Regions from separate parts of the Mus musculus genome. Here all the other regions are reported to be linked to region 3. Evidence: microRNA targets listed by miRTarBase, many of them from high-throughput screens and not tested one by one. Region 3 holds a microRNA gene; each other region holds the end of a gene's coding sequence.

Region 1 (7,763 bases), not on the chromosome of region 3:
TTCACCCAGCCCTGCTTCCAGAGATAGCAGCTTAGCGGAGGTGGTTGGGATCAGAGATACTCATGATTTGATTTTTTTTTTTTTTTTTTTTTTTTTTTTTTTTTTGCAGCCTACAGTAATGTACTCAGGTAATCTTCTCAGGTCATAGTAATTTGACTTCTAACTCCCCCAAATGACAGTCCCCAGAGTCACATAGTTTTAATGGCATCCCTCTACCCAAGACTGTGAGCCTACTTTAAGCTGCAAATAACTGAGTCTGTTGTCAAAGATCACATCCCAGATCTGATGTATTGGCATTTATATCCCATCCTGCTGAAACTGCCTTCTCCCCGTGGTCCTTCTCTTCTCTAAGGTCAGAAGCATCTTTCCTGTCCTAATGTGCTTCTCTTTTACTCTCCAGATGCAGTTAACGCCCCACTCACCTGCTGCTACTCATTCACCAGCAAGATGATCCCAATGAGTAGGCTGGAGAGCTACAAGAGGATCACCAGCAGCAGGTGTCCCAAAGAAGCTGTAGTGTGAGTTACATACCCCGGCCCTCCCTGGTCCAAAGGTTTTTCCTTAAGAACAAGGGATGGTCCTCATATACTTATAGTCAGTCACACACTCAGATCCAATGGGGAAACCAAGGCCAAGAAGGCAAAGGCAGTTCTCAACAGCATTGTCTCTATGGCTGCTGTTCAGGCCCTTTCTACTCCACAAGCTTATCTTAGAAAACCTGCAGGAGAAGCAGGTCACTTTGAGTCCCCTTTTTCTACCTGCCCTCCCCCGCTGAGCTCTACACAGCCCCTCCATGTATACCAGACTGAACTTCATCTAACAGTGTCTTTTCTCTTCCCACAGTTTTGTCACCAAGCTCAAGAGAGAGGTCTGTGCTGACCCCAAGAAGGAATGGGTCCAGACATACATTAAAAACCTGGATCGGAACCAAATGAGATCAGAACCTACAACTTTATTTAAAACTGCATCTGCCCTAAGGTCTTCAGCACCTTTGAATGTGAAGTTGACCCGTAAATCTGAAGCTAATGCATCCACTACCTTTTCCACAACCACCTCAAGCACTTCTGTAGGAGTGACCAGTGTGACAGTGAACTAGTGTGACTCGGACTGTGATGCCTTAATTAATATTAAACTTATTTAACTTATTGATGTTATGGTATTCCCTTTCATGAATACTAAAATTTCTTAAATGCAAGGTGTGGATCCATTTTTCCCTCTCTGTGAATCCAGATTCAACACTTTCAATGTATGAGAGATGAATTTTGTAAAGATGAATGGGTAAACTTTGTGTTTGAGATTCCAAGGTATTGTTTAAAATATTATTATGGATATTCCTTATTATTAAAAGAAATATATTATTTTTGTACACCAGTCTGACTTTGAGTGTTTTCTTGAGGGAAACTGCAAAGCTGAGAGTATATAAGCTTGGAGAGCAACACAGGTTGGGACACATATTGTGGGGGAACAGGAGAGTGAATGGCCCACTCTTTTGTATTGAATGGTCTTATCTGAGTGTCATAGACTCTTCAAGATGGGGCCCAGTCAGGGATGCTAGTACCATTGTTTTGGTCCCTAGCATTGCTTCTCAGATACATGCTCAACAAAAGCCCCAGTCCTTCCCAGTCACATGTCCTAGTTGCCCTTTAACTGGGATACATCACTTCCATCTACAGCTCTGCAATTTATAATTCTCTAACTGCATAGGTAGTTCAGACAGTGGAGAACAGACGGGAGACTTAACCATCTTCTATAGGAAGGTTATGGTAATGCTTCCTAGAGAGAGGAAGACATGAACTTATCCTTGATAATGGTTAGTTTTATAGGAAAAAAAACACAAAAGCATTAAGGAAAACTGGTAGGTGGGGGAAATTATCCAAAAATAGAAATGAAAATGGTGTGTACATTAAACGGGGAAGAGCGAGGGAAACCATCCGATGGAGCTGCATGTATATCAAGAGATGGGGATTTTTCAAGAGGAAGCTCAATACAGGGTTTGGAATAGGAAGGTGAGAACATGGTATTCCCTCGGACCTATAATTTAAAGGATAAGTTGAAACTCTTCGGTCCAATAAAGAGGGAGGGACGTGTTTCATTCAGAGGCTCAGAGGTGAGCCTCAGAAAAATACATCCTGATGACTTCAGACAGACAGAAAGAAGTGGAGACAAGTGATTGGTTGTGGCTCATCATGAGATGAGGGCTGGATATTGGGTCCAAGAGAACAATGTTCTGGACCGTGGGAGATGGCTTAAGGTACGGACCTTTCCAGAGATTGTTAATGAAGCAATGTCTCTGAAACCTGAGAGTGTTTCTTTCCATCAGCACCCTGACTCCACACAGAGGAACCTAGGTTGTCCACTCAAATGGATAGATGTTCTCTCTCTGAATGTCCATCTGAGGTCTGTGGCATGGGGCTCATCCTAGGGGCATTTGGACCACAGGAACACACAAATAGCCTCTCCACCAAGGTGATTGGGCATCTTTCTCTAAAATATAAACTCCCATAGTGCTCACCCTCTCCATCTAGTGGGGAGAAAAGATTGTCAAGCTAGACCTCACACCCTCTTTGGCAACATGAGGTGCTGGGGAGACCTCTGGCTTGCAGGCAGGACAGGAGCTGAAGATGACTCAGTCACTTAGGAGCAAGCAAGTGGTCTCTATCAATCCAGTGTGGGAGGGGAGGTGTTGCAGAGATCAATAGGGCCCAACGTTTTCCTTCCTGATTTAGAAGCATGTCTCCTGGAAAGTTTCCATTGCTGCTGCTCAGTTAGAGCATTCCTGAGCCAGACCAGACCCTTTGGCTGAAGCTGGGGTTTTCCTTCAGAGCTCCAAGAGCCCGTTACATCAGACAGCAAACGATTTGTACATAGCAGTGTGACGAATTCACTGACCCTACATTCCAGGTCCAGTGGTCCTCGGTGCTGGTTACAGGTCAGAAAAGAAATCTTAAAATCATAGTGGATGCAAAGAGGCAAAGAGGAAGTAAATTAGAAATGAGTTGATCTCTGCTTTGCAGCTTATAGAACAGGGGGCCTCTGATGCCAGGCTGACCGGCTGCAAAGGACCTGGGACAAGGAGAGAGAAAGGAAGTGGGGCACAAATACTTCACCCTGCAGACAGCCTGTCCCCACTCATCTGTAAGTCCTATCTGCTCACTCTTGGGAAATACTGACTAGGTTTCTTTTTCTCGAAGTAAGCCTGAGTTCCTCCATCCTTGCACAATGGAGCCACAATGGGGCTGAGCAAAAGCCCTGGCAGTGCTCAGGCACCTGAGGAGGCCAAGTTGGATACACTCATTTTCCCGTTGCTGCCAACACTCTTCCAGAATGTCTCATCCTTTCCCATAATTCTCAGGCTTCCAGCCTGTGTTTATTGCTCAATTCAGAAGCCATTTCTATGATTTATTGCAATGGGTCCCTGCCCCCAGGTACCACACTTCTTCCTATTAGTCCCCAATTGCCACTAACAAACCACCATAAACCTAATGGCTTAAAACAGACAAATACATTAGCATACAGTTGGATTGTTAAAGCTACAAGTCTACACTGAGGCAATCTAGCTACAGTCCCTTAAAGAACTTGCTCCCACAATCCTTCTCCCCATCCCCACTTCCCTTCTCGTCTAAGTGAGTGGGGGGTCCATCTCCCTAGATATCTCCCTGGGTATCCCCCACTCTGGCACATCAAGTTTCTAGCGCAGATTCCAGGTGTTAGGTTAGTGCAATGGCACTTGAGAAACAGAGCTGCCCTTCAGACTGCATGCCTAGGGAGCAGGCAAGGTTTATACTCAGTAGCTGGGCACAGTCTGGATTGCTGAGAAGACAGCCTAATAACAGCATGGATGTCCTCTGTAGAGGTAAAGCCCTTACTTTGTACCACAGGTCCTTTCTAAGTGGCCTGCACAATATGGTTTATCTTGGTTGTCTATGTGGTTTGAGTGATTGATGCTTAGGGCATTAGCAAAGAATACTTCTGGTTTCACCTATGTAAGTGTGGATATGGGTCTGTAACATGAGTCAGCAGCTAGAGCAGAGACCTACCCTAACATGGGTCCAGACAGAAGAGAAGTAGAAGCAAAACAAGCGAATGGCATGCGCAAGCTCCACTCCAGTGGACCTCGATGCCACCCTCTCCAGCCTTTCAACAGAATCTCACACCAGGGACTCTCCAAGGAGCTTGCAGGCCTGCAGCCTCACACTGGAGTTGGGTCATTGGCCCCTGTTTTCCTGAGGTACCCAGCTTCATGGGCTGAAAAGCTACTAGATTGCTGACTTTCCAGATGTTCACTGGGGAATTATGCAGTGAATAGTTATGAAACTCAGTATAATCAACTATCTTTTATAATTACACACACGCACACTCACACACACCTATATATGTTCATGTATATATACATATATATATATACATGTGTGGGTATATAACTAATATATAATAAACACATGGAGAGAACCCTAGCTAATACATTGTGCTAATATGCCTGAGTTCCTTATAAAATGAGGGCACACAGGCAAGCCAGATGATTCAGTAGGTAAAGGCATTTGTCACCAGGACTTACAATCCCCATTCAACCCTGGAACCCACATGGTAGAAAGAGAGAATTGATTCCTACAAGTTGATCTCTGACCTCCAACCATAAGCCTTGGCATGTATGTGTGTGTATGTGTGTATGTGTGTGTGTGTACACGCACAAGTAAATAAGCAAATAAATAGAGTTTTTAAATTGCTTAATTTTTTAATTGTGTGTCTGTCTGTCTTCATGTGAGTTTGTGCACTTGAGTGCGAGTACCTGAGATGCCCACAGGCATTAGATCTCCCCTGGATCTGGAGTCGCAAGCAGGTGTCAGTCACCCTACCTAGGTGCTGAGAACCAAACTTTGTGCTCTTAACCATTGAACCATCTCTCCAGCCACCAAATGTAAATAACATTAAAAAAAAAAAAACCTTAAATACAAAACTTTCCAAAAGCTTCTGGTGTGGAGTGATGAAATGGGGGAAGCTCTCCTTCCCATTGGTAGGTTTCAGGGTTTCCCAGAAGACCCTGGTAGCACACGGCAACTGAGAGATAATGCTTCTTGGTCCTCTTTGGCAGGTTACTGGACTGGACGCTTGGTGCTGCAGCCTCTGGCACAGGTTTTCATGGTATCTCTTGTTCTGATCTGAACTTGGTCAACTTCCAATTAGGGTGAATGGGAATAAGAATTCAGGAAAGAAATTCAGGGTCTTACAGAATCTGGTGGCACAGCTGCTGTTCCAAATCAAGCACTGACATGGACTTTTAGAGGTTTCTTTTTAATTATGACTAATGCATAAACATCATATTTGCTTATAAATCCTCCTCCTCCTCCTCATCATCATCATCATATCTCTATCTCTGTCTCCCCCCTCTCTCTTTGTATATCATGAAACAATTACCATCTTTAAATGGAAAATCCTCTTAATCCTTTCTTCTGGTCTTTTAATTATAAATCAATAGCATATAATCAACCACCATGACTCCGTTCTCCAGTCCATCTGTAACTTGGTATCTGTTAGTTGACTTTATTTGGTCTGCCCATCCCCCCTGCCCCACCCAGTCGTTAGTGACTACCATTCTACACTCAATTTTCATGAGGTCAACCTTCACAGCTCTCACATGAGGAAGATCACATGGGACTGGTTTTCCTGTGTCTGGCTTATTTCATGTAACCCGATGACATCCGGTTTCAGCCATGTTGTCAAAAGTGACAGGGTTCCATCCATTGATGGCTGATATTCCACTCTATACTTTTACCACATCATCTGCATCTACTTATCAACTAAGACTAGGCTGTTTCCATTTCCTAGCTGTTGTGGACCATGGTATGATAATCATGGAGTACAGATATCTCTCGGCATACAGATTCTTACTCCGTTGGCTACATGCCCAGGAGCAGGGTTGCAAGATTGCCAATTCTAGTTTTTAATATTTTGAGGAACTACCATACTGTTCCTGACAATGACTGCACTAATTTACATTTCCATTAACAGTTTCAAGGGGCCCCTTTTTCCTCCACATCTTTACCAGTATTATTTAATTTTTGACATTTTTTTAAGCAATAGCCCTTCTGACCGGAGGAAGGTTTCACTGTGGTTTTGACTTGCCTTTCCCTGATGTATTCATTTCTTTTCACGTTGCTATGAAAACAAATACTCTTACTCTAAGTGAAAGAGTTTCTTCTTAGTTTCATCATGGCAGGGAAACCATGAAAGCAAGAACTTGAAGCAGTTTATCATGTCCCATCCAAAGCAGAAAAGCAGAGAGTGATAAAGGAAGACTGCTGATCATCTCCCTTTCTCTACTCGCATAGTCCAAGATAGCAGCCAGGGAATGGTGCCACCCACAGTGGGCAAGTCTTTCCATTTCAACTAATCTAACACTGTCATGATAATTCCCACAGGCACACACACACAGGCACACACAGGCCCTCCTCCCAGGTAGTTATGGATTCTGTTAAGTTGGCAATCAACACTAATCATTATACCTCATGGACAGTAAAGTTGAGAATTCTTTTATTTATCGATGCCTTCATTTAGGAAGTGGCTTTTTAGATATACTGTTTATACATTTTTGTGGTGATAAAATATGATTGGCTAATTCTTCCTTTTGTAGCCTATGCTTTTGGGCTCTTCTCCATAAACTTCGTGCCTATGCCCACATCACAAAGGATCTCCTGTATGTTTCCTTCTAGTCACTTCATGACTTCAGGTCTTACATTTCATATCTTTAACCCATTTGAGTTGATTTTTGTTTACTGTGAAAGCTGGGGTCTACCTTTATTCTTTTGAAGGCAGATCTCTGGCTTTCCCAGCACCATTTGTTGAAGACTATCTTTTCTGGAGTGCATGCCCTCCAAAATTCTACTGAAAACCATTTGACTATAAAAGCATAGGGATGGATTTTTTTTAAAAAAAGGTTTCAAACACTAAATCATCTGCAGAGGCTTCCAGGTGGATAAAGTGGTTTAAAGAAAGGAATTGGTTAGAAATGTGGAGCTCTCATTTAAGCCTGGGAGTTTTGGCTTAAAAGAGTTGTGGATCAGGTATGGATGAAGCAAGGAAAACAGCCAGAAAAGCACACAGGGAGATGTGGTGTGCCTGTACCAGTAGCCCAGTACAGTAACAGTCAGGTTTTTTTTTTTTTGAAAAAATCTTGTTGCCAAAATAATCAGAAGCCCAAGGTCTGTACCAGCTGTGATAACTACTAAAGACAGGCATGCCCACCCAGCTCCAATGCCAGTATAGCCAACAGGTGGAAATGGGCATAAGAAGCCCATAGATTGAAGCCATGGTCAAGGATGCTCATCCTGAGAACATGAGAAGCACAAAGCCACCGAGCACCACCTCTCATTGCTGGGTTTCATGGGCACATCTGCACGGAGGCCAGAAGTCCAGATATTGTTCTTCAGGCACTGTCCAGATTTTCTTTGAAACAAGATCTCTCACTGAACCCAGAACTCACTCAGTGGATCAGGCTGACTGGCAAGGGGCCCCAGAGATCTTCCTGTCCCTTCCCCAACACTGGAATTATAGGTTTGTACCCCTTTGCTCAACTTTATTTGGGTTCAGGGGATCACACTGAGGTCCCCGTGCTTACATGACAAGTGTTCTACCAACCGAGCCCTCTCCACAGCCGCGCTGCTTGAGTTTCTCCCAGGTTTGCTTTCCCAGTAAGTATGTAGTGTGTCTGTTCCCAGTCCCCAATGCACACAGAGAGTCGGGAACAGACCAATGAGTCATTTTTCAGG
Region 2 (7,763 bases), not on the chromosome of region 3:
AATCTCTTCAAAACAAAATAATATTGAGGATGGCGGCCCTGGCTCCATTTTTGCAGACTTCTTTAATGTCTGGGTCAACAAAAGCTGGACTCTTGTACTCATCTGCCCTGTACTCATCCTGGAGAAAGAAGTGTTGTGCTCTACTATAGCAGACAGACAGCTGGGGGATCTCCAGCGCTCATAGAACGTTTCTCAGCTAGGCATCCACCTGGGACTCTTCCCAGAGCCTAATCCTTCAAGGAAGGCTCTATGTGGAAGGTTAGAAGTGTTTTGCTCGGAACTGGGGCTCCCCTACTAAAGCAGGGGAAAGAGCAGGTGGGGCTGCTGAGGTCTCTTAGCAGCCAGCTGCACTGGCTACTACGGCCCTTGCTTTCTTGATGTGCTATAAGAGATTTTGATGTGTGGTGAGCACCAGCTTTCTCTCCATGGGCTTGACTGGCCCTCATGCTTGCCCATGCATATCTCATCCCCCTTCCCCTGTGGCCCTCCCCACAGCTTGCCAGTCTCTTCCCTGAAGTTCTGCCTTCTAGCCATGTCCTTCTGGGACAGCTGCTTTCCCCGCAGTGTTCTGAGCTCCCCATGGGTACTTCTCTAGCACTAGCTGTTCACCTCTTGTGTGAACCTTTGTGCTCCCCTTCTGTTCCTTTCTATGGCTTTCCCAGACCCCTGCTTCAGCAACTAGACTGCTACCACACCATGGCCATGGTTGTTTTATTACTTACCCAGGGTTTTCCTGTGGGCTTTGGTTTTGTTTTCTTTCTCATTCTACTTGTGAGCCACTGGGTAAGGGGGACTACCTCTGGCTCACCTTATCACCCTCCAGCTGAGGAACTTAGACTCAAGGATGAGGAAGTCAGTGGCTCTTGATATTGATAACTGCTCTTTCCCTCCATAGGCTCTGCAGAACATTGCTGCTATCAGCCTGGCCATCAACTACCCAAACAAGGCCACCCGCCTCTGGAATGTTGAGTGTTAGCCTCAGTGTGATATGCATGGACTTGATCATTTGTCTACAGGGGTTTATAGCAGACCTCCAACCTTGCTCAGGAAACCCCTGAAGCCTCTGCACCCAGCTCTCTTTGAGCCCACCCCCTGCTCCCATCTGGCCAAGCAGCCGCCTCATCAAAAAGGCCCACTGCAGGCGCCACATGTCCAAAAAGGCACAGCAGTGTAGAGTGGCTCAGAAAGAGCATCAAGAGGCCTTGGGAAAGTTATTCAGAGAATAGAGACTAGAGGCCAGTCTCCTCCAGGGGAGTCACAGCACTGAAGACCTGGAAGCCGTCTCTGAAAGGATTCTGTCTCCACTGAGTGGGAGCTGCCTAGGCTTGCCATCAGGAGAAGGCACCATCCACCCAGAGCTACCTTTGCAGTAAGACTTGCAGCTTGCAGCAGCAGTGGCCCAGTTGGGACACCAGCCCATAACCAACATGAGCACCTCCCAGCCACCTCCAGTTCCCAAGCAATCTTCTTGCCACAGCTTAGCTGGCCAACTCACAGTGAGAGCAGGTGTCCCTGGGAGCAGCTGGCAGGCTTTGCTTGTCACTGTGCAGCAGCTCCCCGCACACATCTTTGTTCCTTCATTGTTTTAGTTTTCATTTCCCCTCATGGTTTTAGAAGAGAACCACATCGACTCCCTGAGAGGTCCCCTAGGGAATGCCTAGGGGCAAACTGGCATGTGTGGAAGTGACAGAAATGGAGGGGCTCTCCAGCACCTGCAGTGCAGGCAGTGCCCTCAGAGGAGCCTTTGTTCAGGAGTCAGGACACACCTGATTATACTTCTGCTCCAAGGTCATGGTGATCAGCAGCCTACGACCTTGAACCTCCTGCCTGGTTGTTTGGCCATCCCCTGCCTAGCAATAACTACGTTAGTTTTAGTGAAGCTTTTGCGTATTTCCTTCTATGGTTTTAGCATTGCCCTGTGTGCTGATGACCTTTTTCCCCAGAGCCACAGAGTAGGATGCTGGGTCAGCAGCAGGCCGTGGACTTTCAGGAAGAATCCTGAGGCACCTGCTGTTGAAGGGCAGGCATCTGGCCAGAGGCATATCCCACCTCACAGGCAGAATGCAAATAAAAAAAAAAAAAAAAAAGGCTCCTAAGAGCCAGGGCCACATTTGGCTGGCTTTTGCTGTGACCAAGCTTGCCCCTTTGGCCTCTGAAGACTCTTCTGGGAGTTGGCAAAGGACTGCATTGGCAGAACCTGAACCTGCAGGTGTGGGAGCATCTTGTGCAAAGGTGCTATGCCTTCTGGCACCACTTCCTGCCCAGTCATAGAATTAGGTTATCTGATGAACCCCAGCACACAGGAAAAGTGGCCACAGAATGGGAGGGGATGGGTTATAAAAGCAGAAACAAATGGAGTGACCTATGGTCCACCACCCTGACATCAGAGGGAACTTGGTCCAGGTCCCATGGTATTGGACATGGTGTCTGCTGGCCCAGAGGAACCTCTTTCTCACCTTTTGCTCTTTGCCAAAGCACCTACGCTTTGCAAGCGGCCTAAACCCCAGAGAAGTCTCCCGTTGCACGCCATTCCCTCCAAGTAGGTCTCGGATGAGAGTCAGAACAAGTGCATGGTGAAGAGGCTTCACTCGCGGTGGCTCAGACCACACAGCAGTTAGAAGATGGGGGAGGAGATGGCACACTCACACTCCTCCACACCTCAGACTGAGCAGAGAGAGCAGGTGGACAGGGCAGGGCAAGGCTGGAGACCTCCCTTGGGACAGTGGCCCCAGCTCTCCTCCCACCCTCCCATCGGGAAGAGCAACTGTAAATAAACGCTGGACTCCATAGCTCCTCTCCACTCACTGCTTGCTGTTTTCTCTACGTGCTTCAGTTTGCATAGAATGAGCTTAAGTTTGCCCTTCTTCACACACCACAGCTGCTCTCTGACCGGACAGGGTCCCTCCTGACCTGGCCACCTGCAGCCCACTGCCTCTGCTTCTCTAGGCCACTGGGTGGCACTGCTGAGCCAGGCCAATGTCTCCTGACCCCAGCCGGGGCAGGAGGTCCCAAAGGATTTCCATCAAGGCCAATATCCCCTTGACTCTTAGGAGGCAAGACTGCCTGGACGGAGACAAAACTGGCAGGCATAAGGGGTCGTGGAAACATGTGCCTAATCTATAAAGAATTCTGTTCCAAATCAGATATATTGTACAGACACTGTTCTAATGAGAGGAGTGACTTATTTTCATCATCGTTTTTAATTTGTTTTCTTACGGGTTTACGATTTTGAATTTTTCTTATTTGGTTGAGTGAAAGAATTTTGATTATATCAGCTGAGTGAGTTCAGCCTGTAAAAGGAATGTTTTAAGTTGTGGATAAGATATGCAAATGAAGAGAAATATATTGTAAAAATTCTATATAAAAAAGTACAACTCTGTGTGGATTTCTCCCTTTTCTCTTTCCTTCCCTGCCCCCTTTCCCCTGTGGAAAGACCTTGCCATATCCCCCAGGCTGGCCTCAAACCCACAGTCCCTTGCCCATGTCTCTCATGTCTGGCCCTTCAGTTTCTCTTATGAAATATATTTTGAAGTGTATGCCTGGCCAAACAAATGGGATTTACAGAACCTCATCACTGCCTGCTTATGGGAAGAAGTCCAGAAGACCCTTCAGGGCCCAACCTTTGTTGACAGAACTGTGAGCCTTGCCCTTCATTGTGGTCAACCAGGGGATCCATCCTCGGGTGGTGCCTTCCTTGGGTGCCATCCTAGTACTCTCATATGGATGCTTCCTTTCCCATCTCCTCTTGAGGTCAGGGTAGCAAGCCACTGATACCTGCTAGGAGGCTCTAGGGCAGTGTTCTCAGCCTGTCACGACCCCTTTGGAGGTCAAATGATCCTTTCACAGGGGTCGTACAACAGATATCCTGCATAGCAGATATTTACATTATGATTAATAACAGCAAAATATTTATGAAGTAGTGATGAAAATAAATTTTCTGACCCAAATTTAGGCAACAGTTTAAACTTACAAAACTGTTCCAGGAAGAACTATCGACATAGTCCTATTAAATAGGAATATATATGTATATATATATATATATATATATATCCACTACTAAAGTGTCTCAAGCCTTCAAGAGTTTAAGGGCCACTGAGATGGCTCAGTGGGTGAAGAGGCTTGCAGTCCAGCCTGATAACCTGAATTTGAACCCAGAAAGAAGTGAATAGAGTCTTAAAAGTTGTCTTCTAACACCCACATACAGAGACATACTAGATAGAGATATAATTTTTAAAATATCAGCAATGTATGAGAAGAAAATGTATAAACACTTCCTGCAGTAACAAGGCCACTGACAAGGTCCAGTCAAGCAAATGGCAGCCATTAGCAAATTCTTTCTTAGGGATTCTTGGCTATTGTACCTTCCCTCAGCTCAAAAGGAATTGAGACTCACTTTGAAGGCACGGTTCCAGAATTCAGTGCGCTTTCTCCATATTTAAGTTAAACTCCAAACTGAATTTGTTTGTATGCATATGCATCTAATCCACACAATCTGTGGAGGTCGCAGAGCAACCTAAAAGAATCTCTTCTCTCTCACCAGGGTCCCGGGCAGTACACTCAGGTCAGTAGGCTTGGCAGTGAGGGCCTTTACCTGCCAAGCTGTGCTGCTGGCCCCAAACTAATTAAATTGAAAAGGAGAATTCACCAGCCTATAAAACCGGGAAAGCTAAGGGTTGCATCTGACTCTGGGGAAAGAGAAACTCTATGGCCTGAAGGTGGACAGTCAGTTTGTCTGTCTCTCCTCGCCTCTCCTAATCTTCCAGGATGTTTGCTCTCAAGGTGGCAGTGCCTGCTCCCTCTGAAGAGCCTCTCTCTGTGCCCCTTCATGGGAGGCTTCCCTAAGCTGTCAACCACAATTTGCCTTCATGTTTAAAAAGCTACTTGGAAGACTCATGTCCTTATGGGCTGCTATCTCAGAACTGCTGAGCAACCTGTATCCATGACAACTGGGCAGATGCCATGTCTGGGAAATCCCCACGTAGCCACTGTGAGTCCTGTCAACACAGCTGCTCAGCCACTACACCAGGTGAGACACCCTAAAGTATGGTGGCGACACTGTTATTAGGACAGAAATTCACAGCAGAAGTGAGAAGAGTCAGCTGACTAAAATTCCTTTTACATTTTAAATTTAATTTTTAAGGTTAACATACTATTGTGCATTTTAATCAGGTATAATGTAATGTTCATATGTTGTCTTGTTTACAGTATTACAGATTTAACCTAGGGCGCCCCACATACTAAACAATAACCTGATCACTGGGCTTTCTGTATTTTTTTTTCTTTTAAGGCCTAAGTTCTCCAGGATGGCCTTGGGCTTGCAAACCTCCTGCCTCAGACTCCCAAATAGTGAAAGTCATTGCAGTCCTGCCCATCCAGGTCCCACTTACCACTCATTGTGAACATTCAGAAACCTCTGTAGGGAGCAGAGCTCAGGAGTAGAGCATGTGCTTGGCTCTCATAAGCTAGCACCTCCTCAAAAAAAAGGTCTATACAAGCTGTCTTGAAATAGCTGCCAGCCACTGCTATTCTGTACTAGTGGACTTTAGAAGCTTTTTCTCCTGGGAACTTTTCATCTCTTCACTTGGTAACGATTCTTTTCAACTCCACCTTTCTAGACTTTAAAAAAAAAAATTATTTTATGTGCCTGCCTGCATGCACATGTGTACCACACGCATGCAGTGCTCAGATACGCCAGAAAGGGGTATCAGATCCCCTAGAACTGGCTGTTAGCCATCATGTGGGCACCAGGAACCAAAACCTGGGCCTCCACGCCCAGATTCATTTACTTTCTTCAGCTCAGCCTTGCCTCCTAATGGTCCCGCCTCATCCTCAAAACAGTTGGGAACCAAGCCTATGGAGGACAGTTCATACGCAAGCCATTCCTGACGTTCAGATGTCCTTAGCTACCAAAGACTCATGCCCATCTTCGCACGCAAAATGTCTTCAATACTTCTCTTAAGACTCTCCAAAGTCTCAACCATTCCAGTGTGACTCAAAAACCCAAGTCTAAAGCATCTTCAAAGACAAACTCTTAGTTGTGAGCCCCTACAAAATTGAAAAATCAAGTTACATATTTACAATATCCAGTAACATGGTTTAAATGTTCCCATTCCAGAAGGAAGAGGGGCGGGTGTAGACATGCTGAAAGGAACAGTAAAAGACTGAACCCCAGTCTGGCAGACATTTAATCCTGTACCTCTGGCCCCAAAGGGTCATCACTATGGCCTTGCTGGCTTTAGCATGTATGGCCTCTCTTGGGCTGGCTCTACCTATTGCTTGCAGCTTTCCTCGGCGGACGTCCTTAGTCCCAGCATCCTCAGCTTCCTGAACTGCAGCTCAGGCACTCTCAGAACCTAGTTCATCCCTCGGCTGCTGATAGAAATTCTCATCCTGGAACACAGAACTGAGTCTCACAAGCTTTCTTCTGGAATCTGACTAAAAGTTTCTATGGCCCACAAATTTATTTATGTTCTGCATGCCTACAAAAACCAGTCATGCAGATAACAATAGGTTGTCACCAACTTGAGCAATGGCCAGGCCCCACCAGATGGTAGAGACTGTGGCCTCTGAATAGCTAACCATAAAGACTCTTCTGTGGGTGACCCTTGCAAGAACTCTTCTCAAAGTTTTTCAAGTGATTGTACTTCTTCACACCTTCAGAGCCTTGAGTCTCTGATGGATGGTGTCTGGTTAGCTCTTGAGATGCCCTCAAAAAACCTGTGGTCCAGGTGCACAGAACTTAGTTGTTTTTGTTTTTGTTTTTAAATCTCTTTAACCCTATCTTCCCTGAAGGTAACTTTAACCATACACCTTTTTCTGACAAAATTGCAAAGTTTTCAAGTCTTTCCACTCTTTCATTCTTGGGGGGGTTTTTTTGTTGTGTTTTTTTTTTTTTTTATGAGACAGGATTTCTCTGTGTAGCCCTGGCTGTCCTGGAACTCATTCTGTAGACCAGGCTGGTCTCGAACTCAGAAATCCACCTGCCTCTGCCTCCAGAGTCCTGGGATTAAAGGCGTGTGCCACCACTGCCCAGCTCATTCTTGATTCTTAATGTAAACCTGGCTAAAGCTAGCTAGGAATAGACTAAGTATCAAGCTGTCTTAAAATTCTCTCCATCTGGGCCAGGTATCGTGTCTCATACCTTTAATCCCAGCACTCGGGAGACAGAGGCAGGAGATCTCTGTGAGTGAGTTCAGGCCAGCCTGGTTGACAGTGAGTTCCAGGAGAGCCAGAGCTGTGTAGAGAGAAACATGTCTCACAGAAACTTTTTTCTCTATCTGATTAATTAGTCTACCACCTTTAAATTTAGCCTTCTATAAAGTCTCAAAACCTGGGCAAACTGTAGGAAACTTCTTTGCCCCAGTGCAGCATTGTCTTGCTGTGAAGAAAAACCATGACCAAGGCAACTCTTTAAAAAAACAACAACAACAACACTTATTTTATTTCATTTATTTTTGCTTTTCAGGATAGGGTTTCTCTTTATATCCCTGGCTGTCCTTAATTCACTCTGTAGACCAGGCTGGCCTTGAATTCAGAAATCTGCCTGCCTCTGCCTCTGAGTGCTGGCATTAGAGGTGTGTGCACCACCATGCCCAGATAAAAGGAAGCATTAGTTAGGGGCTTGCTTATAGTTTCTGAAGGTTAGTCCATGATCATCACGGTGGGAGCAGTCAGGCATGGCCGTAGAGCTGAGGGTTCTACATCCTGATCCACAGGCAGCAAGCAGAAAGAGAGAGAGACTGGGACTGGAGTAGTATTTGAAA
Region 3 (7,763 bases):
CTCGCAGTGAACATGGCTTCTCTGTCGCAGATTAATGCCCGATAAACCAAAGGATATCAAAGTCCCACCATCCTGGAGTGCATTGAGGAGTGAGGGCGGGGCAGTCCTACCTAAGCAGTAGGAAATCTCTGGAAGAGTGTGGCTTTGGAGTCTAGTCTGGAGGAATAGTCAGGGTTGTCCACAGAGGGAGGAAGGCCGAGCCTGGGGTCTTTGCTGGCACAGGGAAGAACATCTGCGGAAGGCTGGCTGTGAAGCACATCTATCATGCGCATGGGCAGAACTTGATCTGCCCGGGGATATGGGAAAAGGGAGCCAGAGAGGGCCGTTCAGTCTTAGAATTGGATCTCTAAGCAGCCAAGCTTATAGGTGTAAGCACACATGTGGGTATGTCAGGCCATACCGTACATAGGTGTAGTCTTTCTATAGGTCATAAACATGGCACCTTTTTTTTTTTTTAGTGAATTTTCCAGTGCTCTAGAGTATTTGAAATTACTTCATTCTTTTGTGGACTCTGTGGGATTTGTGACCTCACCATTCTCCAGCAGTTCCGTGCTCAGGTCGGCCCTTGGTGAGTATCAACCCCTCTAGAATCAGGAGTCCATCTCAAAGCATCTTCCCTTGTCCTCGGTTTGCATCTGCGTCCGCAAGGATGCCCCAGCCCATAGTTGTCCCTCATGAGCAACATTCTCTGAGCAGAGAATATTGGTCCTTGTATAATGGAACAGCAAGTGGGTCATTACCACACTGAGGCCCTGGCTGGGTAGCTTAGGTCAGGACCCTTTCCATATGCACATACAAGCCACAAAGGGCCTGAGTGCCTGAGGCTAGCTGGTGTTCACCTTAGCTACAGAAGGCCCTGGAGCTAGCTTCTAACACTCCCGCTGGGAAGGTTCCCTTCTTACCATCCAGCTCCCCACTGCCTCGGCTACAGTCTCCCCTGCTGACTACAGAGCTATGGTTTTATTTGCTTCTCCCTCTAAACTGCCCTCAGAATGACAGCCCGTCGACTGCCACCTCTCAGCCTCTGAAGTACCTGGGGGTATGGGATGCCAGGCTACCTTGGAAGGATGCTCTCATCCTAGGGAGAGAAGGGTCCCAGGAAAGCAGCTATGGTAGCGTGGTTCATATTGACTTGGGGGGTTAGAAGAATACGTGTTCTTACTCCTTTTCTGTCACCGGGCTGTCCCTCGCTGGTCTCACAGGATCCCTTGTAACATAGTTTTAACAGTTGAGAAACCTGAGACTCAGAAGGGAAACTACAGCAATAAAAACACAAACGTGCTTTGCCAGGCAGTGGTGGTGCCCACCTTTAGTTCCAGCACTCGGGAGGCAGAGGCAGGCAGATCTCTGCATTCAAAACCAGCCTGGTCTACAGAGTGAGTTCCAGGACAGCCAGGTCTATACACAGAGCAACCCTGTCTCAAAAAAAAAAAAAAAAAAAATCTAGCATTAAAGTGAACTTTTTTGTTAAACTTCTATTCCGACCAGTTTCCTAGTGATAAGAGTACCAAATGGGGTTACTGGGGCATAAGGATGAGCGTGTTCAAGTCCTTGCTACATACACACTACCAGATCCTGAGGGAGAGTGACCTGAAGATTCCTTGTCCATCACCACAGCCGAGAGATGCCACATGCACTGAGTGCCCCTTAGACTTGGTTCCTGTGGGTGCTAATGGGTGATTCCTGCTGCTGTTCCCATGCAGGCCCCGATGTCATCTGCCGGTGGTGGACGTCCGCAGTCACCATGGCCATCAGCTGGCTCCAGGGAGACGATGCAGCTGTGCGCTCTCGTTTTACTGAAGTAGAGCGGGTCCCCAAGGCCCTGGAAGTGACCGAGTGCGTAAGCTCCTTGGTCGTTTATGTACTTTTCGCCAAGGGGATCTTAGTGAGGTAGCAGAAGGGAGCAGGTCCAGATAGCCATGTTGATCTGGGGTCAGAACTGTGTGACAGATGGGAGCTGGGGGAGGGCCAGAGGAACCCTCGGTGTGTGTTCTGCACAGAGCTCTCCAGGCGCCCTTGCTTAGCACGGTTGCTTAGGATGCCCCTTCCCTCTGCCTCCGTGACGCCACACTGTATAGAGGAAATGGAAACGGCACAGCCCTGGCAGAGCCAGAATCAGCAATGTGATGTATGTAGTGCGGCCACTGCAAGGCAGTCCTGGAGCTTATGTGAGCTCCAGTTCCCGTTTCCTTACTGCTGTTCGCTACTCCCCATCAGCCCTGTTGGCTCTGTGCGTGTGTGTGTGTGTGTGTGTGTGTGTGTGAGTCATGGTACACATGGAGAAGTCAGAGGACAGCCTACAGGAATGGGCTCTTTCCTTCCACCTTGTAGGTTCTAGGGACCAGAAGTCCATCAACTTGATGGCAAACCCCTTTAAGTGCTGAGCCATCTCTCTGTCACCTGGGCAAGATGCATAAAGAAAGATTTTGACATTCTTTTCAACACGTGCCTGAACCTTGGAGGTGTGCAGTATTTAAAGATGAGCAAGCCTGCCTGCTGGTACCCTGCATGGCGTTGGTTAGATGTGGGTGCTCTTGGTAACATTACAACACGCACATGCAGTGAGGCAGAGAGTCCCCTGGGGTCCTGTCCTAAAAGCCAAGGCACACTCTTGCCAAGAACAATTCTACGCAGAGCACCAACAGGCTGAGGAGTGGGAGGGGGCGGCTTGAGCTGTCTGTTTCATTGGGGCAGGCCAGATTTCAAGCCCCTATCTGGTAAATACCCAGCCCTACAATAGCACTCCTACCTGAGTGTGTCTGCCTCTGACTCAGGTGAAGATGCCGAGGCTCAACAAGTAGGTTACCTCAAGTTACTGTGCCACTGAGCCTCAGAGCCACAATGGACGGCAAAGCTGCCTGGCGGGCATCCCTGCTTGGGTTCTTCTTGCTCCTCCGCCCTTCACAACCCAACATCCTGTCCCCAGGCCAGAGACTTGTAACACTGAATCTGAGTCTCCAGTCACCTCCAGGACCAGTTAAGGACTGAACAGAAAAAGGCTTGACTCGGCTCAAAGCCAGCGTTTCCTGTCTGGGGCTGGCTCAAGGAGACCACAGTGGCAGTATCGCAGTGCCAGCAGATGCCACAGCAAGGAGGGTGTGACGACGCTGGCACAGCTGACCTGTGCTCACCTGCTTGCCTTCTCCTACTCACTGCTCTAGGAGTCCCTTGGTGAAGGCCGTCTTCTATACCTGTAGAGCCATGCATGCCTCCCTCTCTGGGAAAGCTGACGGGCAGCAGAACTCCTTCTGTCACTGTGAGAGGGCCAGTGGTCACCTGTGGAGCAGTCTCAACGTCAGCGGCACTACTTCTGATCCTTCACTTAACCATGTGAGTGGGAGCCCCTGGAGGGTTCGGTGTGGTCTGTATGAACAGTTCCGCCCAAGCTTACACAGCCTGCTGGGCTCTCTGAGACACAGAGGCCAGATGCACAGATGAAGCCTACTCGGGCAATGTGCCTTTTGTTTCCCCGGGCAAATGTGTTTGCACCTTTTCTTCTCCCGAGCTCTCTTACTCTCAGGTCCTGCTAGCTGGCAGCTTCCTCTAAGTCCCAAGTGAACGGGCCAGGGCTCTGCGTTTGCTCCAGGTAGTCCGCTGCTCCCTTGGGCCTGGGCCCACTGACAGCCCTGGTGCCTCTGGCCGGCTGCACACCTCCTGGCGGGCAGCTGTGGTGCATTGTAGTTGCATTGCATGTTCTGGCAATACCTGTGCAATGTTTCCACAGTGCATCACGGAGGCCTGCCCTGACTGCCCACGGTGCCGTGGCCAAAGAGGATCTAAGGGCACCGCTGAGGGCCTACCTAACCATCGTGGGGAATAAGGACAGTGTCACCCCTGGTCCCCTAGGAAACATCAGACAGGAGGAACAGGGAACTTTTTGGGAGGTTAGAACTAGCTGCTTCCTGGGGTTTTGTCTGGAATGTCATGGTAGCGGCTGTCAGCGGACCACCACTTGGGTGCTTTATGTAAGTCAGGACAGCTTGTCAGCCCTTCAGGGAGAGCCGTTGTGTCGATCACAGGCTTGGTGGCAAGCCATTGTTGGGCTTCCTGTTGGTCTCCCTTGGTGTGTTTCCTCCCAAGGAAACCATTGTCAGTCATATTTGAGGAACTAGAAAGGTTTTTAAGGGGCACCCTTGGCGCTGTGGTTCAGGGCGGGAGAATGGGCCTGGGAGAGCATGCTCAGAGTGCAAGACCCAGTCCAGGCTCCTGTCCCACGCATGAAGATGCTGCTCCTACACCCACAACTTAGAAATGCCAGCTTTGCCTGGAGGGAGAGTTTCTCATCTGTGTCCCCTGAGGCTATCATCAACCACAGGATAGTATGGCCCAGAGTTGGCACCTTGTGCAGGCATGGGGCAGAAGAGGTCTGGGCAGCATGGTACCCCAAGTCCAATGCCTGCAGGAACCACCTAGGCGAGATGAGAAGTGGCCGTCAGGGAATCTAAATGGTGCATGTAGAGCCCCTCTCCCCTTAGGGCCGCACATGCTACTGATGGCTTATTGGGCATCAAGGAGGTAGCCTGGACTCATCAGGGGTTACACACAACGCGCAGTTTCTGCGGTGCATGCGCAGAGGGCTGCCTTGTAAAAGGCTCATAACAGCTAAGCTGCCATTCCCATTTCACAGATGAGGAAAGTAAGGCTTAGATTAAGTCACATGCCAGGGTTCTGTAGCTGCCAAGACAAACGTGAGAATACCATGTGCCTCTGCCTTCCTGGTGGCCCACCTCCTTCTCTTCCCTCCTCCCACTGCCCTCTGCCCCAGGCTCCGCTGCTGCCTTAGTCAGCCCCTTGGTTCCTCTAGAGGAGAAAAGCCTGGGGACCTCTGGGTGACTTACCCTCCAGGCCCATCATGGGAGACGGAAAATGTGCACCTCTCCCCACGCTGCTTCCTCAGAGAGGATCTTCTCCTGCCCCTCCCAGCCACCGTGATGTGTCCCTTTTAAAGCTTTGGTTTTCTTACCTGCAGAGTGATGAGAACAGGCCACACCCAGCTTGGGGGTGGGCAGTACAGGGTTAATGCTCCCGGCAGATACTCTTCTCAATCCCTGCCCCTGAGTTTTCCGCCTGGGTTCAGGCCAGGGGCTGCTACCTGTTGGGCTGAGGGTCTGGCAAGGGGCTGGGGTCCCTGAATTAGGTGTGGGCGAGTCACAGTCTCTCCCTGCGGTTTATCCCTAGGTGATCCAGCTGTTCACCTGTGACCTGCTACTGTCGCTGAGGACAGCACTCTGGCAAAAGCAGGCCAGTGCCAGCCAGCTCCTGGGTGAGACCTACCATGCATCCGGCACTGAGCTGGCCGGCTTCCAGCGGGACCTGGGCAGCCTTCGAAGGCTGGCCCATAGCTTCCGCCCAGCCTACCGCAAGGTGAGGCCCAGCAGTCTGGTGGGATGTGCAGGCTAGCGGGGGTAGGTCTCGGGTCCAGCACTAAGATGAGGACCATGGGTTCCTTTGCACACTGCTGTGCACCCGGCCCAGAGTCATGTGTCACCAACCAGACCTGCAAGAGAGGTCAGAGGACAGAGGAGAGGCTAAGCAGCTCCCTCCCCAGTCCTGGCCACAAGGGCGCTCAATAGTTGTAACTACTGTCAGATGGCAGCCTTGCCCAAGAGCCACATGGAAATGGACCTTCACTGTAGTTTATTTTGTAAGCCACTTGGGAACTTTTCAGCTGTGCTGCCTTCTCTCCGCAGCACCCCTGCCTCTGGCTGCAGCATCTGAGTTAAGCTCTGAGGAAAGATGCACATCTGTGCTTCTTTACATTCAAGTCATCCCTTCATTGTTTACAGTGCTCATCAGTGTAATGCAGTGAGCAGGTGGAGTTTGTTTCAAGCAGAGTCTCAATATATTCCCTAGGCTTGGCCTTGAGTCTACTTGAGCACCTTATGTGTGGAGTCAGGCACACACCTCCTGACGTGTGTGGCAGTCGGAGGCAGCAGTAAGGGGAGAGGCATAGATTGTACTAAACATTAGGGGAGTGGCTAGAACTTGTTATGACAGCCAGGCGAGCCTCAAACTCACTGAGATCTAGTTGACGCTGCCTCCCAGATGCTAGGGTTAAAGGTGTGTACCATCATGCCCAGCTTAAAAATGTACTTAAATTTTTATTTGACACATAATAATCATAATAATCATACATACATATTACAAGTTATATATAATAAGTATATTACAAGATAGTATATGACATGTAATTATAATTGGCATATCTTTCACTTTTGTCCTGATTAGCATACTTATTTACAATAACTACAATAATTGATGGATTTCATTGTAACATTCCCACACAAGCATACATATGTATATAATGTTACATATGTATGTGTGTGTGCTGGGCTCCTTTCAGTCCCGTCAGCCTGTCCTTCCCAGTGCTGCCTCTCCTCTCCTCCTCCCATCAGTCCCCTTTCTACTCACATGCTTTTTTGTTTCATTTTGTAATGACCCAGTGAGTTTCATCAGGCTTGTTCATAGGCATGTGGGGCCTTGCCGATAGCCACACCACTGATGATAATGTCCCTCTATCTCCCAGCAATCCGTAACTGCATATAGATGCTCACAAGAGGCCTGAGAACTCATGAGCTCACCTCACTCTGTGACAGGAAGTTGGAGAGCCCAGTCTTGTGCAGATCTTACGAGGAGAAGTGTAGCGTCTGAACTCAAGTGCAGTGCTTTGTGCCTGGAGGCCCATGTTGCTCGGCCCTGCTTCCCCCCCCCCCCCCTTCACCTCACCCTGTTGTTATTGTGTAAGGATCCACATGCTGGAGCCTGAATTATTCTATGAGAGCAGAAGAGGACACGGTATCATAAGTGGCAAGGAAAGGAGAAAGCTGGGCTAGAAGCAGCGCTGGAGGCCAAGGCTATTGTTGGGGAAGAAATCCCTCAGCCGGAAGTACAGCCTCAGGGTCGTACTGAACACTGCAGGATACCAAGACAACTGGCCTGGGAGAGATCCGGTCATCAGAGCACAGGCAAAGGGGCTACTTGGTAGTGTGCCTACCTACAATGCATAAAGCCCTCTGTCAGCCCCAGCACCAAAGAAGTCTCAAGTGTGATGGCATACACTTGTAATCCTAGCATTTGGGACATAAAGGCACAAGGATCAGGAACCCAGTTCATCCTTGGCCACATAGTAAATTTGAGGCCAGCACAGGCTACATAAGAATGTTCCTCAAGGGCTGGAGAGATGGCTCAGCGGTTAAGAGCACTGACTGCTCTTCCGAGGGTCCTGAGTTCAATCCCCAGCAACCACATGGTGTCTCACAACTATCTGTAATGAGATCTGATGCTCTCTTCTGGGCTGTCTCAAGTCAGCTACAGTGTACTTAAATATAATAAATAAATCTTTAAAAAAAAAAAAGACTTCCTCAAGAAGACAGACAGACAGACAGATGTGTGCCCCATGGTTTGGGCTGCACCTCCCTTTTGGAACCCATTCAGGTTAGACCTCTGGTCTGCTCACAGACTGGCTGGGACCAAACGCCTCCCCTAAAATGCCCTCCTTCCTGCCCGTCCTCACTCAGGAGGCTTCAGTGCCCCCACCCAGCATCACGAGCTACTCAAAAGGCTGAAACAGGACTATTGTAAATTCAAGGCCAGCCTGGGCAACTTAGTAAGACCTTGTCTCAAAGTCGGAAAGGCTGAGGATGTCGCCCAGTGTGGAGAGCTTGCCAGGCATGGGTAAGGCCCTAGTTTCTCTCTCTAAGACTGGAGAAAGACAAAGAAGTTAGAGACCTAGACCTGGGCCTCCACCCACCAGTGGTTTCTGT
Region 4 (7,763 bases), not on the chromosome of region 3:
GCACACACTGAATTTTAATTTTAAGCAATTATAATCATTTGTTCACTTTTAAAACCATGTACTTTAAAATGCCTTGCCATTCTCTTGTGCTTCAGTAGAGGGAGCTATGACACAAATTGTACTAAGCAGCAACAACAAATTTTTTGACTTCCTATTTTTGTCAGTCTCTATTGCAGTATATTAGGTGAGTGCTTCGTTGCTGTTTTGTCAGATTTGTTAGACTGGATAATTACTACCCTGGTTAATGTCGTCGTCGTCGTGGTGTTCTGGGCAGTGATGTTTTGGCCAGTGGTGGACCACATATTCCTCAGGGGTCCCACATATTCTGCCACCTGCTGACCATCTTAGTTCATATTAGCACTCTGTAATGCTCACATGCTGAGGGAAGCTCTGACTGTGTACTCCTCCAAACCCAGCCCATTGGTACGCGACACCGAGTGCAGAGGATACAGTTCCACCTTCGTTTGCAGTCACTTATATCCATACCCAAACTGCTCTGCTTGCTGTCGCATTGCCTGCTTTAAAAACTGATTCGAAAAAAAAAAAAAAAAATAAAGATTCACATGCAAAAAAAAAAAAAAAAAAAAAAAAAACTGATTCGTTTGAATCATATGGTTTGGTATTTTAGCAGAGTGGTCCGTATACAGTTGTCAGCAGTTCCTTCCTTTCTGGTGGTGCTATTTCGTATTCTATTGGGGATGCACAGTTTGTTTATCCCTCTCCTTCTGATGGTCTACTAGATAATTTTGAAATGAGTAAAGGAAAAATGATTGCTCACCCCTTGACTATGGCAATCTGTTTACATTTAACTTCTCTCTAATTTAAAATTTTACTCATAAACTAATTTTATATAATATTCTATTATCAATCAGTTATCAAAAACTATGAATGATAGTATGTGTACTTTTTTTAAACAATGTCTGTAAATTACGAAGTGATGTGTCTTCTGCTGTTCTTACAGCCTTCACTGTTTCATAGGCTTTGCACAGGTATGTGAATTTTTTTAAGAAATTTATTCATCAGGTCTAGCTCTGCATCTTCATCGGAACTGCTCAGAATCAATTACTGGTTTTCTCTGCAGTCCCCAGTGAGCCCACTTGGTTTCCTGCGGCATTGACTCGTGTTTTGTCCTTTTCTTTTCAGATACTTGTACCTGCTGTTCTCTGGCGATGACCTTCTACCTTTAGACCACTGGGTGTTTAACACAGAGGCGCACCCTCTGCCGGTGTTGCGCTTAGCCAACAGCACTCTTTCAGGTAATCCTGCTGTCCGATGAGCACAGCCCCAGAAGGACCATTCTTACCTGTGTTTTGTTTACATGGACCACTACAGAGACTGTCTGCAGAGGAGAGGCGGCTGTGGGAAACTGGGACTCTTATGTCAGTATGCCGGATGAAACTCTTCCCTGCAAGACTTTTCACTTGTACATATATCAACTTTGAAATTATTCCATTTTATACCTGACCAAAACAAGTTCTGGTACATGTAGGACAGAGACCTGATGTGTTTTGATTCTTACTGAGATGGCCACATGAGAAACAATGTCTTATTCTATACTGTCAGTGCAAGTCAAGACCATAGAGCACCTTACAGGAGCTAGAGATGGCTTTTTGAACCAGTTATACATTTGTTTTCTCCCACAGTGGAGCAGCTCTCAAATCAAATATAACACATTGTGTAGCCCCTTTCCTCCATTTTAACAATGGAACAAACCGAATGAGCAGGAACCGAGGAACATGTAACTACATTGTAGCAAGAAGACTTGGGAAAGAAACAAACAGATACTGGCCCTGTCTGAATTTTCCAGCTCCTCATTGGATTTTTACCAGACTGGCAACCATTTCATTCCCAACCTAGGCATTGAAATCTGTTTAGATTGAGTTTTTCTCTGAGGGGCATGATCTCATGAAGAATATTTTTCAAGTCGTTGTCTCCATATAATATGCTGAACCTGGTATTTATCATAACTGCTGCTTATGAGCCGGAGTGTGGGAGTGTGCATGTAGCTCACGCTAGCATTGGGAGCATGATGGAAGGAGGGAAGGTGCCAGATTGTTGCCTTGAAATCTGTTTTAGAGAAATCCTTAATTATTCTTCTGAATCAGCAACTATATCAAGCAAACATTTTCTGCTTTAATCTCATAACACACTTAATAGAGTCATTCACCTTACAACTCCATGTGGTTCGGCAAAATTGACTCTACTGTTATGCAGCTCTGTATTTGCTAGAACAAACCTAATCGCTTTTACAACTTACTAAAGCAAAGGCAAAACATAGCAATGTCCCTTGAGTAGGGTCAGGTCCTTCACTCATTACCTCACACGTGTGATCTGTTCACAAAGAGTCTATGTTTTTAAGTTTCTCCAAGATATTATCCATCCAAAGAATTACTAGAATAGCTTCGGAATAATTTTCAGTGGCAAATGTGTGACGTAAAGAATCATACTCACTAAAATTGGCATGAACCTAAGGGACTTACAGACCTGCACTGGTTATTTTTGTTGTTGATACTGCTCTATATTTTGGCAGAAAAAAGGGTAAATTTTTATCAAGAACTATAGTTCTTATTATAATATAAGATAAATAGTAATGCTATAAATTTTCTGTCCCTTGAATTTCTGTGATAATTCAAGACACTTTCTCTCTTTTATTTCATACATACATCATCTATTGATGACAATAAATTTGAGAACGCTATAATATTTTATGAAACACTTTGCTTATGAATTCTACTGTGGATTTCTGAAAACTTATTTCCTTGGTTGGTAGCTTTTCTTTTTAGCCCCGTACTAGCTTATTACTAGCAGATTTAAACTGTGGAAAAAATATAATTGGACATGTTATAAGTTGACTGAGCATCTTCCAGTGAAAACCATTATCTGATCCTCAGATTGAGCCAGTACTCCAAAAACTTGCCACCTCAAACTTGTTCAGTATTGATAAAAGACAACATGGAGAGAGTGAGCTCTAGCACATGTCAAAACTGTATCTTTTCCTACTTGAAATTTTTAAACTGTAAATGAGAATGGTAGATGGCTATTACTTTAGAAAAAAAGATGAGGTTTTGGTTCTCAGAGAAAAAGAAAGTGAGCCTTCCTCATACAGCACAAGCCCACTCCCAAGTCAAAGGAAAGTGAGGAGCTGAAGGTGCCAAAGACCAGTGCAGCAAGCAGGGGAACCTCTGTTACACTCATGCAGTAAAGGCGCCATCTTGGTTCCCTGGGAATGCTCCAAGGAGACAAGAGTCCCCCCACCTACCCAGTGCTCTGCATTGTCCACGTGATCCTAGAGCAGTAGAGAGAAGGCCCAGGTGTGAGCAGGACATGTTCACACAAAGATCTTAAGACTGTCACTTGACTGTCCTCACCCTCCTGATAAGAACTAGAGCTTGTAACAATGCTTTTTCCTCTTTGAATACCAAAGGCGATTAAAGTCAGGTACAAACGACTGCCAGTGTCATGTTTGATTTTGTTAATAGAATTTTTAAAATAATTTTTTCCAAAATCTACCATTATCCCATATTTTGCTTACTTTTTGTGTGTTTTCCTCCATCGTTCATATACTTGGTGTTTGTAAACCTTAGTACTTTAGACTCCATATCATTGTGTTTATAAACCCTGAAGATAACCCAGAAATGCTCATTAACTGATGTCTCTCCAAAAAGCTGGTACCTCACCTTCAGCTTTGGGCAGAGTCGTGCAGATTAAATAATACATAAAAGTAGGGACTATTGAACACCTTCTAATTCCAGATTTATTGCTCATTTTAGAATCACACCTTTTGGTTCAAACCTGAGTTTTAGAAACTAATGAACCAATATGAAGCTCGTAAAACTAAGAATGAGCCCTTCACCAAGAAGTCTCACTGCAGAACAGCAAGTTCCGAGGTGAAGGTCTTTCTTCAGGTGGGCTGCACATTTTGTGCGCCTCTAACACCAGCCTGTCGGTGTCGTCCAGCTGGGGTATGTGCGCAGGAAAGCCTGGGTGTTAGAGGAACGCATTCTTTTTGCAGAATATTGACTACCTGATTCCCTATGATGTCATCTCGGGCGCCACGGCTTCCCTTGGCAGGTTTTAAACAAGCAGTCTGAGGTCACGATCCTCAGCTTCTCCTCCTTTTTGCTCTTCATTACCAAAGTGTTTGTCAGCACTCTGAATTTGTCGGTAAAGACTGACAATGAGTCTCCCTTCAGGCTGGAGTTCTCTGAGCGAGTGCATTCGTGAGAGAATGAGGGAACAAACAGGTACAGAGCATGTCATACGCGTCACGCTCCGCCTGGCACCACCCCGGCCTTACAGCATGTCACATGATTCCAGTGGCATCTTCTGTATGAGAGTGTTCCATAGCATTTTAAATATTCCCCAAAATGAATCATGTTTCAAAATTCTTAATTTTATATTTCATTTAAATTAAAAAGGGAGATAAAAGGTTTATAATATATTTTAAACACTGTTACTATATAATACTAACAACAAAAATTGTAGTTAATAACTAAAGACTCTTGAAAAATGTCAAAGAAATATTTGATTTCTGTTGCATCTTTGACTAAAATATTTACTTCAGAAATAAAATCATTTGTATTTTGTTATTACTTTAATTACATGATTAAGATCAATACTTTGTAGAAGTCTGTGTTACTTTATATCTAAAAGAAAAATTGTCCCTTAATTCATGGGTACACTGTGCAGTTGTAAATTGTTTTTTCTCGAGTATACTTCCTAATAACGGTGGCATCTGTATTTCTCGCATATAGAGAAAACATACTAAAATTTCTCTAACCCAGTTACTAGAGCATAATAGATGTAACTTTAGGTTCCTTCTTTTCTCTGGGCTCTTTATCCTGGGATTGGCTGGCTCCTGCCTCGTCTGTTTTTGCTTAGCTGTGTATATGTACAGTTATACACAGATCTGGAGTATGGTCTGCTCACTGATAGGTAGATGATAGAGTTGCTGTAGTCCGCACAGCCTGTCTGCAGAGCATTTAAGTCATCAGCATCTGACCAGGAGCTGTTTCAAGTCACTCGTAGTTCAGGGACACTGGAAAGCATGCCTCTGTTCTTTAGCTCCATACCCCAATACAAGTATTCTGTTTGCTCTATAAATAGCCAGCAAGCTTTTCTGTAAACAGCCAGAGAGTGTTTTAAGGTCTGCCAGTCATGTAGCTCTCTTATTACTCATTTCTGCTGTTACAGCTATAAATAATATGCAAATACATGAGTGGAACTGTGATGCAATGCACATTAAAAAAAAAAAAAACAGATGGAGGCCTGGATTTGCCTCTTACATCATAGCTGCTGACCCCAATCCAGAATTTAATTTGTTTAAGATCCTCTAACCTATAACCTGCACCTTTTCTCTTTTTTATTTGCATAATTCACTTTAAAGCAGAAATATGTATGTATGTACACTTGTATGTATGTGTCACCTAAAGCTGTATATTTTGCTCTCTTGAAAGTAGATATATTTTTCGGGGTCTCTTCAGGTTTTAGGATATGATTGTCATGAAAGAGGCAGAATGGGAGGATAGGCTTTCGGCACCTATCTCCGTCTTGTTGTTTAATGTCATAATTCCAGATTACTCATGAACAAATAATCTGTATGGCATCAAAATACTCGTTTCTAACTTCACCTGCTGACCGACACTTGGACCAAGACCTTGCGATGTAGGAAAGTATGCACTCTCTTCTCACAGAGCTTTCAGATGAGAGCATAGTAGAATTCTGGATCTTGGTGCTACAGAAAACAGTCTTTTTGCAAACTGTGGGCAACACAAAATGGGTTATGTGCCCAATTCACCCTTTGGTACAGCCACTGCTAGTATGTAGGGTGTTGACTGCTGTCACTCCTAGAGCAGCGTAAGTCTGAGTGAAGGTATGTTCCCTGAGGCGTGCCCCCTTCTCGCTTCATTTCATGATGCTCCACAATGCTTTCACAAGTACGTCAGTATGCTTCACTTTGCAATCAAAGCATCCTTCAACCTCAGCTTTATACTTGCACTGTTTAACAGTCAATCAGCAACTGCAGGACTCACGAAAGGTACAAGTCTGTGGTATCATCTTGCTAGCATCTATGTTGTGGTGTGCCAAGCCTGATGGGCAGTAAGCTTCCTGTGATGTTTGTCCAGCACTTCACTATTTTTGGAAATGAAACCTGTATTCAGAATGATAGGGCAGAGCGAGCTCGTCTCAGCCTTTGTCATGGCATACATAGATGAACCGCCTTTCCAGGCCCTGCCTACTCAGGTCACTTCCGCTCTGTGTGCACGTGAGCTTCAGTACTCCAGAAACACTCAGAGCATACATGCAGAGCAGGCAGACACCTTGCAGTAACCTGTATGCTACAGAATCCTGCATATCGATGAAGTGCACACTAGAAAACCATGAGAAGCAGAGCTCTTGATTGACAGAACTTAGATGTTCATTTTTACTGGGTTAACTAAATACAGTATCCCTGATTATAATTGTTGGTTTAGAAGTTGAAATACCATTCTTTATTCTCACTGGCCTCAAATTCGCTGATAATTTTTCCCTAAACTAATAAGTGGGTAAGTATAACCTTTGTTGTTATCCACTGGCTGCTCCTAAACTGGTTTCCAGTCATGTCCTCCATAATGTGATTTTTTTATAAATCAAAGGTAATATTGTATATTGAAGATCAAATAAAGATGTTCTTTAAGTGAAAAGTCTCTCTCTCTTTTTTTTTCACCCTACAGTGACAAACAGTTCAGTTTCTTCCTGTCTATAGAAGAGCAACTTTGGCTTTGTTTACAGGAACTGGGGTTCAGTCTTCATTGTTTGAAGCATTTCTTTTGGCTTTGTCTGTTTTCACATTTCTTGATTTTAAGAAAGATAAAGAGCTTGTTTTTATACACCTACTTGAAAAGTAGAGCTTACTGTCCCCTCTTACAAAACAGCCTTAAACTAGTCAAGAGTGAGGCAGTTCTAACAGCAATTTGGGACACTTAGGAATTTTTACATACAAACTTTTGGGTGGGCACATCTTCATTTCTTTTGGGTATATATGTATCTAGAAAGGAAACTGCTAAATCATGGTACAGTTGTTCATAACTTGCTTTGCTTTCATGCTGTAGTCTGTGTAGGTGGGAGTACCTGGTTTCATCCCTCCACTGCCTACCAACAGGAAGCTGAGGCCGCTGTAGTGATCTTTAAGTTCAAATTGTGCATTTGGATATGAACATGCCAAGGTGCACATGTGGGGGTCAGAGGACAGTTGTGGGAGGCATTTCTCTCCTTCCCCTTCCCCCATGTGGCTCTCTGAGATGGAACACAGGCTATAGCGCTTGGTGGAGAGAGTCTGCCTGCTAAGCCTTCCCATCAGCATCATTTAGTGTTAGTTCCCAGCTCCGTAGTCACTGGCACTGGCCATCCATACAATCAGTGCCTCTCTTCAGGTTAGCTTTGCGTATGCTCTGCCCATTTTTACCTTTTATTAAGCTGTGAGTTCTGAATATACTCGTGTTCTCTAAGATGTTGATGTGCCCTCTGTCTTAATGGTGCCCTTGAAGAACAGAAGAGTTTAGCATTGATGAAGTGCAAGGTCAATGTGTTCTCTGATGGAATATGCTTTCTTGCCTAATTTAGTGTCACCGTGACTTTTCATGAAAAGCTAACTAGTTTTAGTTAGAGGCCTGTTATCAGTTCTGAGTTTATCCCTGCGTGTATGGTGAAGGCCTACTGGTATTGTTGTATGTGGACAGCGCTTGCCTTTGGCATTGCTCTGGCACCTCTGTGAGCAGTGGATG

What was found. Region 3 holds the annotated microRNA mmu-miR-33-5p (GUGCAUUGUAGUUGCAUUGCA, at 3,671-3,691, shown strand). A microRNA usually pairs through its seed, bases 2 to 8, with sites in the 3' UTR of a target mRNA and lowers its output. Matches are read on the target gene's strand: a 7mer-m8 pairs with bases 2 to 8, a 7mer-A1 pairs with bases 2 to 7 and ends in A, and an 8mer does both.
Region 1: the mRNA of Ccl2 is a reported target of mmu-miR-33-5p. Seed matches in the 3' UTR shown: 7mer-A1 at 1,189-1,195.
Region 2: the mRNA of Zzef1 is a reported target of mmu-miR-33-5p. Seed matches in the 3' UTR shown: 7mer-A1 at 2,061-2,067.
Region 4: the mRNA of Man1a2 is a reported target of mmu-miR-33-5p. Seed matches in the 3' UTR shown: 7mer-m8 at 5,233-5,239.

What each region holds. Positions count from the first base shown.
Region 1 is chr11:82,036,083-82,043,845 of GRCm38, forward strand. It overlaps Ccl2 (chemokine (C-C motif) ligand 2), which reads left to right. Exons shown (of 3, transcript NM_011333.3): 2 at 401-518; 3 at 844-1,370. The coding sequence ends at 1,096. Among named protein-coding and RNA genes, the nearest start is that of Ccl2, 4.4 kb to the left of the region's middle.
Region 2 is chr11:72,923,742-72,931,504 of GRCm38, forward strand. Zzef1 (zinc finger, ZZ-type with EF hand domain 1) reads left to right here. Exons shown (of 55, transcript NM_001045536.2): 55 at 896-3,379. The coding sequence ends at 976. Gm34704 (a long non-coding RNA gene) reads right to left here. Exons shown (of 6, transcript XR_879998.1): 6 at 7,593-7,704. Among named protein-coding and RNA genes, the nearest start is that of Gm34704, 13 kb to the right of the region's middle.
Region 3 is chr15:82,194,457-82,202,219 of GRCm38, forward strand. It overlaps Mir33 (microRNA 33), which reads left to right and starts at 3,666; the gene lies at 3,666-3,734. Srebf2 (sterol regulatory element binding factor 2) reads left to right here. Exons shown (of 19, transcript NM_033218.1): 14 at 459-568; 15 at 1,704-1,836; 16 at 3,162-3,330; 17 at 5,179-5,364.
Region 4 is chr3:100,561,123-100,568,885 of GRCm38, reverse strand. It overlaps Man1a2 (mannosidase, alpha, class 1A, member 2), which reads left to right. Exons shown (of 13, transcript NM_010763.2): 13 at 1,144-6,683. The coding sequence ends at 1,276. Among named protein-coding and RNA genes, the nearest start is that of Gm40106, 24 kb to the right of the region's middle.